2 linked regions of the Notamacropus eugenii genome follow. Each later gene encodes a partner of the first gene's protein in a complex. Links are inferred from orthologs where the notes say so. Each region holds a gene or a part of one and is shown on either strand. Other genes may lie near its edges.

Evidence for each region.
Region 2: OSGEP (region 1) and GON7 share a complex: the UniProt entries of both Homo sapiens proteins name them as parts of the EKC/KEOPS complex. The link is inferred for Notamacropus eugenii from reciprocal best matches to the Homo sapiens genes OSGEP and GON7.

Annotation. Positions count from the first base shown.
Region 1 is NC_092878.1:13,804,483-13,812,440, forward strand, and holds the start of OSGEP (tRNA N6-adenosine threonylcarbamoyltransferase), read left to right. Parts: upstream 1-4,926; 5' UTR 4,927-5,273; coding exon 5,274-5,388; intron 5,389-6,015; coding exon 6,016-6,135; intron 6,136-6,236; coding exon 6,237-6,412; intron 6,413-7,958. Other genes in the region: PIP4P1 (type 1 phosphatidylinositol 4,5-bisphosphate 4-phosphatase), read left to right, coding at 1-74, 492-597, 838-890, 1,011-1,101, 1,789-1,932; DNA repair nuclease/redox regulator APEX1, read right to left, coding at 2,784-3,301, 3,430-3,622, 3,844-4,025, 4,202-4,271. UniProt on the Homo sapiens protein: Component of the EKC/KEOPS complex that is required for the formation of a threonylcarbamoyl group on adenosine at position 37 (t(6)A37) in tRNAs that read codons beginning with adenine.
Region 2 is NC_092878.1:36,898,690-36,906,491, forward strand, and holds GON7 (EKC/KEOPS complex subunit GON7), read left to right. Parts: upstream 1-4,607; 5' UTR 4,608-4,774; coding exon 4,775-4,985; intron 4,986-7,361; coding exon 7,362-7,492; 3' UTR 7,493-7,681; downstream 7,682-7,802. Other genes in the region: putative E3 ubiquitin-protein ligase UBR7, read right to left, coding at 162-222, 756-889, 4,259-4,408. UniProt on the Homo sapiens protein: Component of the EKC/KEOPS complex that is required for the formation of a threonylcarbamoyl group on adenosine at position 37 (t(6)A37) in tRNAs that read codons beginning with adenine.

The sequences.
Region 1 (7,958 bases):
GTTCGGTGCCCCTGTAACTGTCTCCTCATCTGCAAAGTGACTTCCCAGAGGATTGCCTGTCCTCGGCCCACATGGTGAGAACGGAGAACTAGGAAAGCCAAATGAGGAAGGGTGGAGACTAAAGAAGTTGTAGGGAATTCAAGAGTGAAGGAATTTGTGGGGATAGAAAGAGACCTGGGGAAAGGCTTGTTGGTAGAGCTGCAAGGGAAAGTTCAGAATGTGGACAACGAAGAACTCTTCTTCCATGATGATTCTGGCTTACCTAACCAGTCAGCTTCCGTGGATCCTTACATAAAAGATTTGGGGGAAAGATGTGGTCTTGTGGGACTACCTAGGCCATATTTTCTTATCAAGGTGTATCAGTTAAGGATAGGGAGGCAGGTGATCTTGTATGGAGGACACTATCCAAGTGATCTCTTAAGAGGGAATGGAAATAGTTCTTGGGATTCGAAGGGTACTAAACTGTATCCTTCTTCCATTCTCTGCAACAGTAAAAGAATTATCAACCTGGGTCCAGTACACCCAGGTCCTCTGAGTCCAGAACCACAGCCCGTAGGTGTCAGCGTCAACTGTGGCCATTGCAAGAACACCTTTCTGGTGAGGAAGGATGGGACAAGCCGGGAAGGGGCTAGTAGACATTTATGAGAATATATTTCTGTAGATAATACTGAATGTGGGGAAGGTCAGTTATTGAAATCACCACTTTTGCCCTTTTTTGTCCATTCCCCTGTTCAGTCCTTGTGTTTTTCCATGGAATCCCTCAAAGAATTGACCTTACAGGCCATTTTTATTTCTGCTTCTACCATAAATTAACCCCTCATCCTATTTTCTCTATAGTGGACAGAGTTTACAGGTCGAACCTTGGCACGTTGCCCCCACTGCAAGAAAGTGTAAGTGATTTGGAATTGATATTATAAACCTACTTATCTGAGGGAGGAGGTAGGGGATGTTGACTATATAAGGATTACAAAGTCATGAAAGGCTTGCCACCTATGCTTATCCCTTCATAGCTCATCAATTGGGCGAAGATATCCCAGGAAGAGATGCATTTGCTGTTTCCTACTTGGGCTACTATTGGCTGTTACTGCCACAGGCTTAGCAGTGAGTAACTAGCTCTATCTCCTCTGACCTTTCACTTTTCATCTTCCTCTTTTCTACTTTCCCAAGTTCACTACTAGAATCAAAGGTTTCATAAGAGTAGTTTAAAAAAACCAAAAACCTGAGGTTTATCTGACCAAAAAATGGCTGATTGGGGATTGATGCAGTCTTCAGGATCAAATGGGAAAGGTTTTCTCTGCACAGAAAAGAACAAATGAAATGGCTAGTGATAGGAACAACTCTCAAATTGCAAGCTGATGTAACTTTGTCTTTTTTGTTTTTTGAAGGGGAGGCAGTCTGGGTTAAATGACTTGCCCAGGGTCCCATAGTCACTAAGTGTCTAAGGCCAGCTGCACTTGAATTCAAGTCCTCCTGATACCAGGGTCAGTTACTCTATACACTGTGACTCAGTAACACCTAGCTGCCATGTATAACTTTGTCGTAAGTGAGATTGGGAACTTAACTTTCCAGAGAATTTAAAGTAGAGAACTATATGCCCAGTGGGTAATAACTGCTGCTTCCACGAGGCAGATGAGGATTGAATGTCCCTGAAGAGTTGCATCTCATTTCTGATGTAATTGCCTATAGGTAGGGGTGGTAACTGAAGCTGGCTTGGACGCAATGGCTTATCAGGTGGTGGACTGACATTTTGGCACTGATTCCTTTTCTTCTTCCATATTCCTCTCCTAGTTTGGCACATGGAAGCATGCCCAACAGTATGGGGGTATCTACGCAGCTTGGGCATTTGTCATCCTGCTGGCTGTGCTCTGTCTAGGCAGGGCTCTCTACTGGGCCTGTATGAAGGTCAGCCACCCTGTCCAGAACTATTCTTGAGCCCCAGAATGATCCACTAACTGTGCCTGGCCCCTCTCCAGCAGGAACAGTGACACTACAAAGGGGAATGGGAAAGTCCCCTTGGCTTCCATAAGAGGAGCCAGGCTGTTGCCCTCCTCTTCTATAGGGGAAAGAAACAGGAAGGATCTGGGCCCTCAGAGACAAACAAGATTGGAAGGGTGGGTGGGCCACTGCTGAGGGCTGCCTGTGCTTGGGGTGGAGTGGGAGATAAAGTATCCTTACCCCAAGTTCCGGAAAATGGTTCTAGCTCTTTCCTTCCTCCATCCTCTCCTAAGGGGCCATTCCTGTCCCTCAGACATTCCAGGGCAGGGCAGGGGTAGGCAGCCCTGGGAGTTGTCCTCCCTTTTGCACCCCCAGGACCTTGCTGCTGCTATTGCACTTCACCAGGGGGTAACTCTAATTTGGCTGCCCTCTTGGCCTCCTCTCCCCACCCCTTTCCGTGCCCTGTGGGGGTGGGGTCAGCCGCTGCTCTGTACAGTACTATGGGAACCGATGTGTATATAGCTATTTAATGTGGGGCATGTTCCCCAACCTGTGCTCCCTCTCCCCAAGTCCTTCCTCTTACCGGCTGTGGCCGGTTTGTCTGTTTTGGGGGATCAGGGGCTCATCCTGTGCTTGTAAATAAAGTTGTGACTCCACCTTATTCCTTGTGTCACTTTTTTTTTTTTTTGAGTGGGGGAAGAAGAGATTCCAGATCCCTTCCAAAGGGGACAGGACATAAAAACCAAAAGGCTAGACCTCTACGGTTCTTTATTCTCAAATAGATATCTCAAAATCAAAGAAACAGTCCAGCATTTCTGGCTGCTGAAGAACCACTTTAAAATGCAGGATTACAAAGCCAGCAAGAGGGTGATAGGACAGTGGTCGCTACCTAGGGCCTTGGACCGGATCTTACTGTCACACAGGGCAGGGAGCAAGCTCCGGGACAGTAAGAAATAGTCAAGCCGCCAGCCAACATTCTTGGCTCGGGCATTCATCATGTAGGTCCAAAAAGTATAAGCATAAGCTGCCTCTGGATAGAGGTGACGGAAACTGTCAGTCAAGGGCACTGCTTGAAGCAGCTCCCCAAAACCTTGACGTTCCTGTGGGGTAAACCCAGCATTTTTCTTGTTTCCCTTGGGATTGCGCAAGTCAATCTCTTCATGGGCCACATTGAGGTCCCCGCAGAGCACAAGGGGCTTTTTGGCATTCAGCCCCTTCAGAAACTTGCGAAATGCTTCATCCCATTTTTGTCGATATTCCAGTCGAACCAGCCCTCGTCCTGCATTAGGTACGTAGGCTGTCACCAACACAAACGCTTCAAACTCAGCCACTATCACCCGGCCCTCCTGATCATGCTCCTCTTCACCTATGGAATGGACACAGCAAACCCAGATAAAGATCAAGCATTGGAAAGTGAAGGTGAGGCTGGGAAATGTTTCAAACACTTCCAGTCTCAGAGAGCAGTCAGGATAAGGGCAGCAAGGTATGTCTCACCAATGCCAAAGCTGACGTTGAGTGGGCGCTGCCGGGAAAGCAGACCAACGCCGCTGTAGCCTTCTTTATCTGTGGGTGAGGACCAGTACTGGTGGCTAAGGCCAGGCAGGTCCTGAAGCTCAGGCGGCAACTTGTTCTCTGAACATTTGGTTTCTTGGAGGCAAAGGATGTCAGGAGCTTCTTCCTTGACCCACTGTCCATGGAGAAAGGAAAGCAGATTACAAGAACTTGCTCATCCCAGACCATCACCCTCTGCCTCCTCCCCAACTCAGCGCATCCTAAAGCCTAAATTCCCCAAATGAGATGCTGGCATTTTAAGGAGAAAATCTTTAAACAGAGAAACCAACAGAACTAGACTCCCCAGAACAAGTCAACAGTTTGGAGTCATTTTCCCTTCCTGAGCGCCATACTCACATCCAGGCCCTTTTTCTTGATCCAGGCCCGGAGTCCATCCACGTTCCAGGAACATATCTTGAGCGTGAAGGGTTTGCCGCTGGGGGAGGTTCGCTGGTCTGGGGGGTCCTCGTACGTGGCAGACCCTTCCCCTGCTGCCTCCTTCTCCTTGGCACCCTTCTTGGTCTTCTTAGGCTCAGGCTCTGTTACAAGTTTTATTGGGAAAGGCCAGGGCGGATTTCACAAGGGTGATAGTAGACACTTCTACTTCGGGTGGCCCGTTATAGCCAGGTGACCACGGGGTCCACCCCATGGACACCTACTCTGCCCCCTTTTCCCACTTCGGGAGATCTGCACTGATCCAAGGTCCCCGGGTTACCTTTAGCCCCGGGCTCCTCCTCCCCGATCCCGTCCTTCGAAGAGGCCTCCTTCTTCCCTCGCTTTGGCATCCTGGCCCAGAACAGCGCCCCGCGGCCCAAGGCCCCTGCGGCCCCACGCAGCAGAATCCTGGCGCTGTGGACGCCTCTGCGGACACCGGGAATAGAGAAGAGATAGGGACGGTGCCGGCGGGGGAGGAGAGGGGCCGTTCCCCGGACAAGGCTGGGACATCCCTCCCTCCGCTCCGCGCTCCCTTCCCCCTTCCCCAAACATCCCGGGATCCCAGCCCCGGTTATTCCCGGCCCCCTCAGGCCCCAGCCTAACAACTTCGTACTGAGAGGCTCCTCGGCCGGCGGACGCTTCTCGCCCACGGCAGCTCTTACAGCACCGCCGACGGCCGGGAGCTCCGGAGGAATGCAGCCCGAAGCGGACTCCGCCGGGAAGATCCGAGCTGCTTCCTCCCGCCGACACAAAGAGCAGAACCCGCGATTCCCCACGTGGGGGAGCTGGCCCTGGTCACGTGGCCTCGGATCGCGGGCTTCCGAGCAGAGGAGACGTCCGGGATTGGCTGAGACCAAGCGCGGAGAGCCCGCCCCTCCATGTGACTCCGACGCGCGTCCGAGAGGTCTTCTCCCTCGGGGCTGTCTATCCTGGTGCCTTACGTGGGACTCCACCGTCCGAGCGGCCACGCAGGCTGTCACATGCAGGGGAGGGCCGCAAGAGTCCGGGAGGGCCTAGAAGAGACACGCTGGCTCGTGATGGGGCCGAGAGGAAAAGACGCCGAGTCACCCCCCACCCCCGGCAGTGGCTAGGGCGGACCCCACTAGGCGCAGGCCTCAGGAGAGGGGGCGGGGCCTTTGATCCCGTCGCCGTAGCGACGGGGGCGGGGCAAAAGAACTGCGCTGTTCGTGGCCGGGTAAGCCGGGCTCTGACCGCTCCAGCCGTGTTCCGGTCAGTCCGCGCCGTGTTCCGTGACCTCTTCTGGCCGCGGCAGCGTCGGCGTGGGCGGGGGCGGGCTAAGGGCAGAGCTCCATGAGCCCCCGGGACCTCTGTCTGACCCCGCAGCCCCAGCCATGCCCACGGTGCTCGGTTTCGAGGGGAGCGCCAACAAGATCGGCGTGGGCATCGTGAGAGATGGAGCGGTGCTGGCCAACCCTCGGCGGACCTACCTCACCCCTCCGGGCACCGGTCAGTGGGTGCGGGGCGGGGGAGGGGAGCTGTGCCCACCCTGCCCGCTCGCAGGCCGTGCCGCGCAGTGGGGTGATGACGGGTAGATGCCCGCGTTTGTTGGGTGGGCGGTGGGCAGCGCGGCCACGACCCGCCTCGTTGTACGGGTGGACGTTGATCGCGGTGACTCCAAAACGCTTCCCCTGTTTTCTCCCCGGACGCCTCCCGTAATTCTCCCGTGCTCGGACACTGTGGTCAGCGCGGACGCGGGAGCCGAAGTCCGAGGGCTCGGGAGCCCGGGTCACCGCAGCCCAGGGGGGGTCACCGCAGCCCGGGTCACCGCAGCCCAGGGGGGTCACCGCAGCCCGGGTCACCGCAGCCCGGGTCACCGCAGCCCAGGGTCACCGCAGCCCAGGGTCACCGCAGCCCGGGTCACCGCTGGGGTTAGAACCCAGGCCGAGGACAGCCGGATCTGGAGGCCCGGCCCCTGGGGCTGGAGCTCCAAGGCGGGTCTTTCTGGCTCTTCTGCTGCCCTTTCCCTGGAGCCAGAGCCAGGGCTGACCTCGAGTTCCCTGAACGGTGACTTCCTGGGGTACTTTTCCAAAAGAAGGTGTGTGACCTCGGACCCTCGTATCCAAATCTCCACAGGGTTTCTGCCGGGAGACACTGCCCGGCACCACCGAGCTTGCGTGCTGGACCTGCTGCAAGAGGCGCTGACCGAAGCCGGACTCCACCCTAAGGACATTGACTGCGTGGCCTTTACCAAGGGTATGGGTGGAGCAGCGGCCTTGGGGTGGGAAAGGACTGAGGCTCTTCTAGCTCCAAATCTGTACCGTAGAGGACCCACCCCTACTTCTCCTTCACTGCAGGCCCTGGAATGGGTGCCCCCCTCGTCTCGGTGGCTATCGTTGCCCGAACCGTGGCCCAGTTGTGGAATAAGCCCTTGGTGGCTGTGAATCATTGCGTGGGCCACATTGAGATGGGCCGCCTCATCACTGGAGCTACCAGTCCAACGGTGCTCTATGTCAGCGGTGGAAACACTCAGGTACCGGGGAAACGCTGCTTACCCCTCCTTCCGACTCTAGGCGCTTTCATTTTAAATGAGTAGCAGGAGGCTGTAAAAGAAGTATCCATTTACATGTTACAATGATGCATCAGGAAACATCACACGTGCAGAACTGTGATGTAGCACACCGCTACTAAGGATACATCAGCAACCGTTTTAAGACATAGCCAGCTACTAAGAAAAAGGTCTAGGAAGTTCTGTTTTAAATGCTCAACAGAATGAGGTGGTATCCAGGTAAATTACGAAGTTTAGAGTTTTGTCATCTAGAAAGATAAAGGCTGAAAAAGATGATGATCCAAGTCTGAAGGATTTGGATAAGGGAAACATGTTTGTTTACCACATCCCAGAACACTAGAGCCGAGGATATTCATCAAAGCTGCCTCAGAGCATCGTCAATACTCTTGTGAAAACTGGACCTAGTTTTTCTTCCATTTTACCATCCTTTGTTGTAGTTTCCTCAAGGTGGCTAGTGAACCAGCATTGATTCAAACACTTAAGAGGAGCTTACTGTTTAACTATAGGTAGTTACCATCTTATGTATTTATCAAAATGTGCAGAGTTTAGGTATATCATTATCATTGCCCCGTGTGGGCTGATATATTTATGTATTTGTATACCATATATGTTATATATGTATATTATATATTTATAGGTTGATGCAGAGGTCCTTAACTTGGGATTCTTGATTTTCTTTATTTTTTGATAATTGTATTTCAGTATTATTTATTTAATAGTCCTAAGCGTGTAAAAGCATTATTGTGAAAAAGGGTCCATAGGCTTCACTAGACTGTCAAAGAGGTCTGTGACACCAAAAAGGTTAAGAAAACCTGGTGTGATGGGGCTCAGATACAGAGACAGTTACAGTATGCTTACAGTAAGCATAGTGATACAGAAAGTCTGAGAGGGAATGAGGTCCCAGAGTGAGGTTGAAGGAGCAATAGCAGGGGTCTTACTGCCGCTGAATAGCTTCTCCCTTATTCCTTGCCGCTAGCCCTCTGCTGTTGACTGGCACTGGAAGGAGGAGAAAAATTTGGAACCAAGATTTGGGGTGGGAACAGCAGGTATTACTGTCGATGAGTGGGGCACAGATTGTAGTTGCAATGGAAGGGCCCCAGCTGGAGTTCAGGAGAAGGAACATTCCTCATCTGTATCTCACTGGGATAAACTATTCCTATGTAAGGGTTCTTTATTGACTACCAGGTGTTCATAAGTAGGAAAACTATTTACTGATTGGGCTAAAAAATGAGTGTAAATCAATGAGATATTCCCTATTGTCTAGATTCCTCTGCTCTGTTCATGGTATATACTTAAACTCCCTCTAGCCTTTGGAATGGCTTCTGCAGGACCCCTTCTTCCTACTTTCATATAGGATAGCCTCTTTTACAGTTCAGACTGACAGTGCCCTGTCCTCAAAAGATAAATGCTCAAAGAATGTGTAGAATTTCACAGGCTAGATAAATTTCATTGAACTGGATATCTGTTTTTAGCTCTTTTATGGACTAGCTAAAACTACTCTTGGCTTCCA
Region 2 (7,802 bases), about 23 Mb from region 1:
ACCTTGATGACTTTACCACTTAGCTTTGCAAACAAGTAATAAAGAGATTGGATTCTAATGCGGATTAAGCTAACTGCTAAGGGAATTAAAAAAAAATTTCCTTTCTACCCATCCAATTGCAATTGATTTTATTAATTAAATGATTGATAAATCTTACTTACCGGAAGTAATTTGCATTCCAGGTTTTTAAACTTGCTATTTCCACAATCACAGCGAAAATTTCTGAAACAAAGGAGCAAGGTAATAATTTCAATTTATTCAAAAAATGTAATGTCTTACTTTTTACGTTCAGGAGTCAGGTTACAATCATGCTTCTTTTTTTTTTTAAAGTGGGCTTGGTTACTATGACCTGATCCCTGAACAAAAGTAATAAGAAAAAAATTGTACAGTCCCAGAAAAGAAAGAGGCCAAAAAGAATGCAGAAATAAGTAAAATTACTACAGATAAGGGTCACTTCCTTGATCCCAAGTATGTAAATTTAAACAAATGTAAATCAATTTGTTCTTTAACTGTAATTTTAAAAACTGCTCCCAAAAACTAATCCATATTAAAAACAATTATGATTACATTGTTTCATTAGCATACATCAGCTTTAATCACTTCTACACCTTTATAAAATCAGTTTTAAATGAAAAAATTGGGGCTAAAGGAAATACAGTTAAGAAGGCAAAGACTATATAAAGTATACCTCTTTGGACTGGAGTTAACATTTAAGAACTAATCCAGATATTTTAATGCTCTCTGAACAACTTTACCTTTTTGTATATAGCTCAAATAATTTATGACTTCCATGGCATTCATAACTGCATGCTAAACAAATTCCTGCTGGTTCCTCTCCTTCTGGGGTGCATGTGCTGCAGGCATATAATGCTTGTCTTTTTACAGAGCCCTGTCAGATGCACAAAGAGGAAGAAGAAAATCATCAAGAAAACAAATTCATTCAAAAGTGGTACAGCTGGCACTAAGCACTCTTTGTGATCTACATAATAAATGAAATTTAATTCAAAACCCATAGACATCTGTAAAGGTCTTCCCACACCGACTTACAAGCCTCTTTTTTAAAAGCACAACAGTACCATAAAATGGGGTATAGTTCAAAGGAGAAAGCATGTACAGTGGAACAAGCAGAAGCTCTCGATCACAGGGCCCTGGGTTCAAATCTTGCCTCTGACACTACCAATGTAACCTTGGACATGACACCTTACTTTTCCTGGCTTCAGTTTCCTCACCTACAAAATGAAGGTCTTAGTCTAGATGTCTTCTGAAGTTCCTTTCAACTTTACCTCTATGACAATGACATCCATATATGTACTGAGAATTTTAATACACCTTTCATTTAGGGCCCAGCCTACCTTTCGAACCATATAGTCTATGCTGTTTCTATTTCAGTCATATCTTTCCTTTTATTATTTTAAAATGTTTTATAATGACCAGCTTCTGTATCTTGAGTCGTATCACAAATCATTACAATTGCTTCCCATTTAAAAAGCCCTTTCCCAACCATTAAAATTCTATTCATTCTTCAAGGTCCAGCCCAAATTCTAGGTCCTCTGTAAACCTTTCTCTGACCCCTTCAATCTGAAATTCTCCCTTCCCTCTTCAGTCCTAAAATTCACTCGTTTGCTCATTTTGCACTTACTATTTACTGCCTAATATTTCTAGTCATTTTGTGTGTGTGTACATGCCCCTGGGCAGCTAGGTGGTGCAGTGGATAGAGCACCAGTGCAGGAGGACCTGAGTTCAAATCTCACCTCAGACACTTGACACTCACTAGCTGTGTGATCTTGGGCAAGTCACTTAACCCCAACTGCCTCATCCTGGGTCATCTCCAGTCATCTTGTTGAATATCTGGTCACTGGATTCAGATGGCTCTGGAGGAGAAGTGAGGCTGGTGACCTGCACAGCCCTCCCTCACTCAAAACAAAGTCAAGTCCAAGTCATGGTCTTCTTTGGCAACGAAGGACGAACACACGAACACACACACACACACACACGACCCAGTTCGGTTCCCAACTTCAAAAATCCATGAAGAAAAGAACCATGTCTTAAACATGTCTACATAAAGTCAATGCTCAAGAAAGGTATTTTATTAATTAAACTACACAAAAAATGAGCTGTTGTGGTCAATAAAGGTTTTGCCAAAATATAATTCTTCCAACCCCTTTTAAAACTCTAAAATGAATTAGGGAACTGCTTTGCCTTAATAATTATAGTTTGGGATAGATAACAATATTTGATGACTGAAAATCTTTTAGTGTCTCATCATCACTGCATATCAAGAAAGATCATAAAAGGTTATAGGAATAGATGTGGATGATGTAGGGGTTGTGCCCCCAGACATCTTAAAATACACTTTTTGTATTAAAATGCTTATACTACTTGCCTTATGGCTTAAATCTTTCATAAAAATGGGAAACAGCAAAATAAATTTAGCTAATTAAGTGTTAGCAGGGTTCTGGTTAATCAACATTTTACAATGTTGGTATTTCTGAGAACATGAAAATAATTAACCATCATATTTTCATCTTGGAAAATGTTTGGTCAACTTAGATATTTAAATCTGAAAGACAATTTACTTTATGGAAGAATAATGCCTTCTCCCCTTCCTCCCTTACAGAACAAACAGGTTTTTGCCTACCCACCTGCTGCAAATCAAGCTTTTTAAAAAAATCACCTCTGAGGTGTTTTAGCACAGCCCCAGGTGCTCTCTCCTAAAAGGCTACCAGGTTTAAACTCTCATTAAGATCAAGGCCTGAAGCATACCACCTCTAAGGTAAAGAGTATCGCCTCCAATCCCAAAGAGAACTCGATACTGAGAATTATTATTTAATGCTGCAGCAGCTCACACGTTTCTCAATGGCTGCTGTATTATGTTAGTCCACACCAGAAAACGTCTTCAAGTCCCTTTCTCTCCACACTCCACTAAGCTTTCTGGACAGGGATCTCTGCACATTTTAATTCTTCCGTCTAGTGTCCTTACTGCACTTCTACGCACCCCTAGCCGGTAAAGGGAACCCCTATAACCTTCATCCTTCCGCAGTCTTCAATGCCAAATCTGCTCTCTTCTCTCCCTTTTCCCCTATTATCCGCTCTTCTGGTTCCTAATCTAACGTTGAAAGCAGAGCTTCTACAAATAACTCGTTTCTACAAAATACTACATCACATCCACGCAACTGGACAGGACGTCCCTGACCCTCACCTCCCAAAGAAGCCAGCCCACAACTTACTATCCCTTCTTGCTCGCCCTAGGACGGGGAAATGCGATTTGGAGAGGGGGGGGGGGGGGGCAGGATAAAAGGCCTGAACCAAGAGGAGGGGAGGAAAGGAAGGAATGGGGTTTTCGCAAACAGTGACACTAAGAATAAGGCAGAGAGGTCCTGAGGAAAGGGGCACTGGGGGGGAAGGCAGGGGAGAAGACAAGGTGGGGGGGGACAGGGCCACCCTATCTATGAAAGGGAATGGGTGGGGGGTGGGCAAAGCCTCCGGGAGCTAACAGAAACGGGGGGGGGCGGGGAATAAAGAAGGGGAAGGGGGCGACGCTGGGAAGAGGACAGACCAAGAACGGGGGCATCTCCGTGCGCGCTCACTGGCCATCCCCTCCCATCTCCCACCTTCTGCAAGGAGCCTCCCTGATCCCCTTAATCCTGGAGTCTTCCCCAGGATTATTCATACTTTAGCCAGCATTTTTCCAGTTTGCACACGGCAGTTTACAGACTGGCCTCAGGCCAACAAGCATTTATTAAACGCCTACTGCGTGCCCGGCACGGCGCTGGGCGGCGGAGGCAGAGAAGGTCAAGAGCCACGCGGCTGGGCGACGTCCTCGGAGGGCAAGGACCACGCTAGCGGACTACCTGACCTCCAGGACGGGGGGTGGGGGGGCTGAGGACCCTGCGAGGCAGACGAGCCTTTAAGAGAGAACCAGGAAGCAGAGAATTCCGGAGCGGGAGCCGAGACACATCAGGAGTGAAGGGGTCGGGCTGGGAATGGGAAGGTGGGGGAGAAGTTGGGGGCCGGGAAGGGCGGGGCAGGCTGGGAATCCCGGAGAAGAGCGGGTCCGCACGGGGGTGGGAACTCCCTAAAGGAGAGGTGAAAGGGCAAAGAATGACGGGGTGGCCCTCCGTGGAGAGGAGGCAGGCCCAGGCCGGGCCCGAAGGCGCCCGGACTGAGCCCCGGGCACGGGAGCCCCGGGCACTGGAGCGGAGGCTCGCGCGGGCCCGGGCCGTGAGCCCCCCAATCTCGGCCCCGGCCCCCCGCCCACCTGCGAGTAGGAGCACTTCTCCGAGTCGCTGCCGCCCAGCACCGCGCAGGCCTCGTTCTCCAGCTCTTCGTCCTCCTCTAACACGTCCACCAACGACACCACGGGCTCCTGCTCGGACAGCCGACCCCCGCCCCGCTCGGCTCCCGCCATGCTCAACTGTCAGCCGGCAGGCCCGGAGCTCCACATCGGGGGCGGCGGGAAAACTGCGCGCGAGGGGTGTAGCCGGAGATGGAGGAACCCCGCCCCTCCAACTCCCAAAACCAATCAGAGCGCCGGGAGGAGAAGGCGGAGCGCGGGGGGCGCCGATTGCGGAAACGGAAGTTCAGGGGAGGCGGGAGGTGCCGAATGCGTAGGCTTTTTTTTTTTTTTTTTTTTTTTTGGTTTCCTATCCCCTCCCTTTTCCTCTCCCTCCCCCCCCCCCCGCCCCACTCCCCTCCCTCTGGTGGCTGCTGCGGCGGCAAGGGCCGCTTCCGTTTCCGGGTCGCTCCGGTGGCGGGCAGTTGAAGAACTGCCGTCATGGAGCTTCTGGGAGAGTTTGTGGGACGAGATGGGAAGCAGCAGCGGCTCCGAATAACTTGTGAGGGGCCGAGTGAGGCAGGCCGCTTCCAGGGACTGCTGTCGGGGTTGGCGCAGATGAGGGAGCAGGTGACCGAGCTCCTTCAAACTGTGGAAGGAAGAGAGGCGCGGGACCCGGCGGCGGCTGGAGGCTCCACCTCGGCCTCGGAGGGTGAGCCGGGCGGCGGCCCCGTTCCCCTGGCAACGGCGGGGGCGGGGGTCCTGGGCGGGGCTCTTTGTTCGGGGCGGGGGAGGACGGCGAGGCCGAGGCCAGGCTGAGCCCGGGGCCGAAGGGTGCTTGGTCCTGGTTGGTGACTTCTGAGGACGGGGTCCGGGGGCAGTGATGGGCTTCGAATTCTGACTCGAAAATGTCGGAGACGCCCTTCCAGCCCTGAATCCTCCGATCCGCAATGTCGCATTTACGTCTAGTCGGGTTGCTTTTGTCTTTTGAGGCCTCACAGCCTAAGTTAGTGCTCAAGTGTTGTCCGTTCTTTGGAGGAAAAAATAGCTATGATGATTGGAAAAAATGAGAAAGGAAAAATAATTGCAAACATTTATATAGAGTGCTGTCCGATTTCCTTAAAATCTTTCCTTAGGACAAACCCTGGGAAGTGGAAAGTGCAAGTGTGAATCCCCATTTTGTTTTTTACAGATGAGTATAAGCAGAGGTTCAGAAAGGTTATTTGCCAAAGGGCACACAGCTAGTAGGTGGCAGAGGGTACTCAAACCCTGCGCCTCGGACACCAAATCCTTTGCCCTTTTGCTCTTTCCACTGTACAAAACTGCTTTATCTTCTATGGTATAGTGTAGTACTTTTGAGCATCTACTACGAAAAGTATAGTATTTAGAGTTTCCGCTATGGTGCAAGGTGGTTCTTAGAGCATCTAAGTACTTCCCACCAAACAAAACTGCTTTACTGACCATCTACGAGGGTGAGGTTCGGTACTTAGAACATCTACTGTGGTGAAGTGTGGATGCTCTAAGTACTACATTGTATCGTGGCAGTAAAGCAACTTTGTATCTTCGAAGAACATCTAAGTACTGGACTGGATTTAACTGGAAGGAACTTTTTATTTTACCAGCTAGGGAAGGGATCTAGAGAGCAGAAGTGGCATGTCTAAATTGACACTGGTAATAGCAGAGCCAGGATACAGACTCAAGTCTTCTGACTTTGAGTCCAGGCTCTTTCCAATACAACACTAAAATATTAAAAAAAAAAAATCCATAATATTGTTAGTGTTGACAGATCCTTCCATGCCGTAGTAGATAGTTTTATAAGTTGCTGTAGTGGAAAAAGAAATTATGCAGTGATAAATCTCTCTGAATGTAGCAAGGCTGGCCCACTCAGAAGGGGTCCTTGCAATGCCCTTATTTGAAATCTTTCCTGCTTGTTAGCATTTGCCGGAGCTTGTTCTCTATGAGGGTAGCTTTCAAGAAATAAAGGTCCTGTCCACACCAATATGAGGCAGAAGAGAAAGACTTAAGTGGAGGTATCTTGCATATCTCAGTTTTATAGGTGGACAAACTGAGGCACCAATCCTTAAATGGCTTACCCATGTCATATAGGCACTGCACTTTGTGGTTGTACTTAGTGCCCAAATTGAATTGTCTGGCCATTTTTCTTTTGCCTGCTGCCAGTAGTATTATTATTTACTTAGGGACAAATAGGTGGTTTAGACATTAAAGTCATTAGACCTCAGACATTTACTGCTATATCACCTGGGGTAAGTTATTTAACCTCTCTTAGCTTCAGTTTTCTCATTTGTAAAAGGGGATAACAACAGCCCTTATATGACAGGGTTGCTGTGAGGATAAAGTAACATTATATAGACATATACATACATATATGTCTATATAATACTATTTAGGTGCTCGCTGTTACCACTTATTATTAGAATTATTTCACACACACATATAATACATTAAAAAATATTTGAGGAATGATTATGGTGCTCTTCCCTACTAGTGTGTGGACACTACTGAAAAACAAATCAACAATAGTACTGTAGGTTGGTTAGCTCTTTTAGGGCATGATATTGACACCAAGATGATAGTTTCCGTCCTTGTATAAACTAGGTAGTTTGGCTAATGAACCAAGTGGGGAGTTTCTATGGTTTCTAGCTTCAAACTCTGTTCCTGTCTTCTTGAAATAGCATGCTGTTGGCTGATCGATCATTAGGGAAGTACCACTACCCTATTTCAAAAATAATAAAAAAAACAACCTCTATCAACAACAGGTTAATAGTGTCAGAATTGTGCAGAAATAGTACAATTGTACATAATTGTACAGAATAGCAATTTTTAAAATTCAGGAATAGAATGAGACATTGCTGGATTATTTACCTCGTAAATTTAAAAGAGGTACATTTAATAACTCAAAAGTAATAATGTGCGTGCTTTTTTACCTCAGAAGTAAACATTATGTTATAAAATGCTTTGTCATTTTAAAAGTACTTTACGTATGTCATCTCCTCTGATCTCATTAACAGCCCCTTTTAGCTGTCCTTCAAGAATATTGTCATACAACAAATATTTGTTATTTTAAAAGGTGAAGACGATGAGGCTGAAGATGAAGAAAGTAACACTCAAAACAAAATTTACTCATCGGGACCACCTGCAAAACGGATAAAACCTTTACATAGTCTTGAATGTAGTTTTGGAGTAAAAAACTTTGGCTAAATCTTGGTATAAATATTTGGTATATATTGAGATCTTGCAAAATTTGTACTTGATTTTGGAAACGCATCTGTTTTTACCTTGGCTATTCTGTCAAAGGAAAATGTTTCTTCTGTATATTGCCAACCAAAAAAAAATATGATGAATGTTTGAAAATAAAATCATTCCTCTTGAGTGAGGATATCATTTCAATCAACAAGCATTTATTAAGCGCCTATTAGATGCTAGTCACTGCAGATACAAAAATTAAACAGCTCCTACCTCAGGGAGTTTACATTCTACCAGGGAGATATAACATGGACACGGATACAGA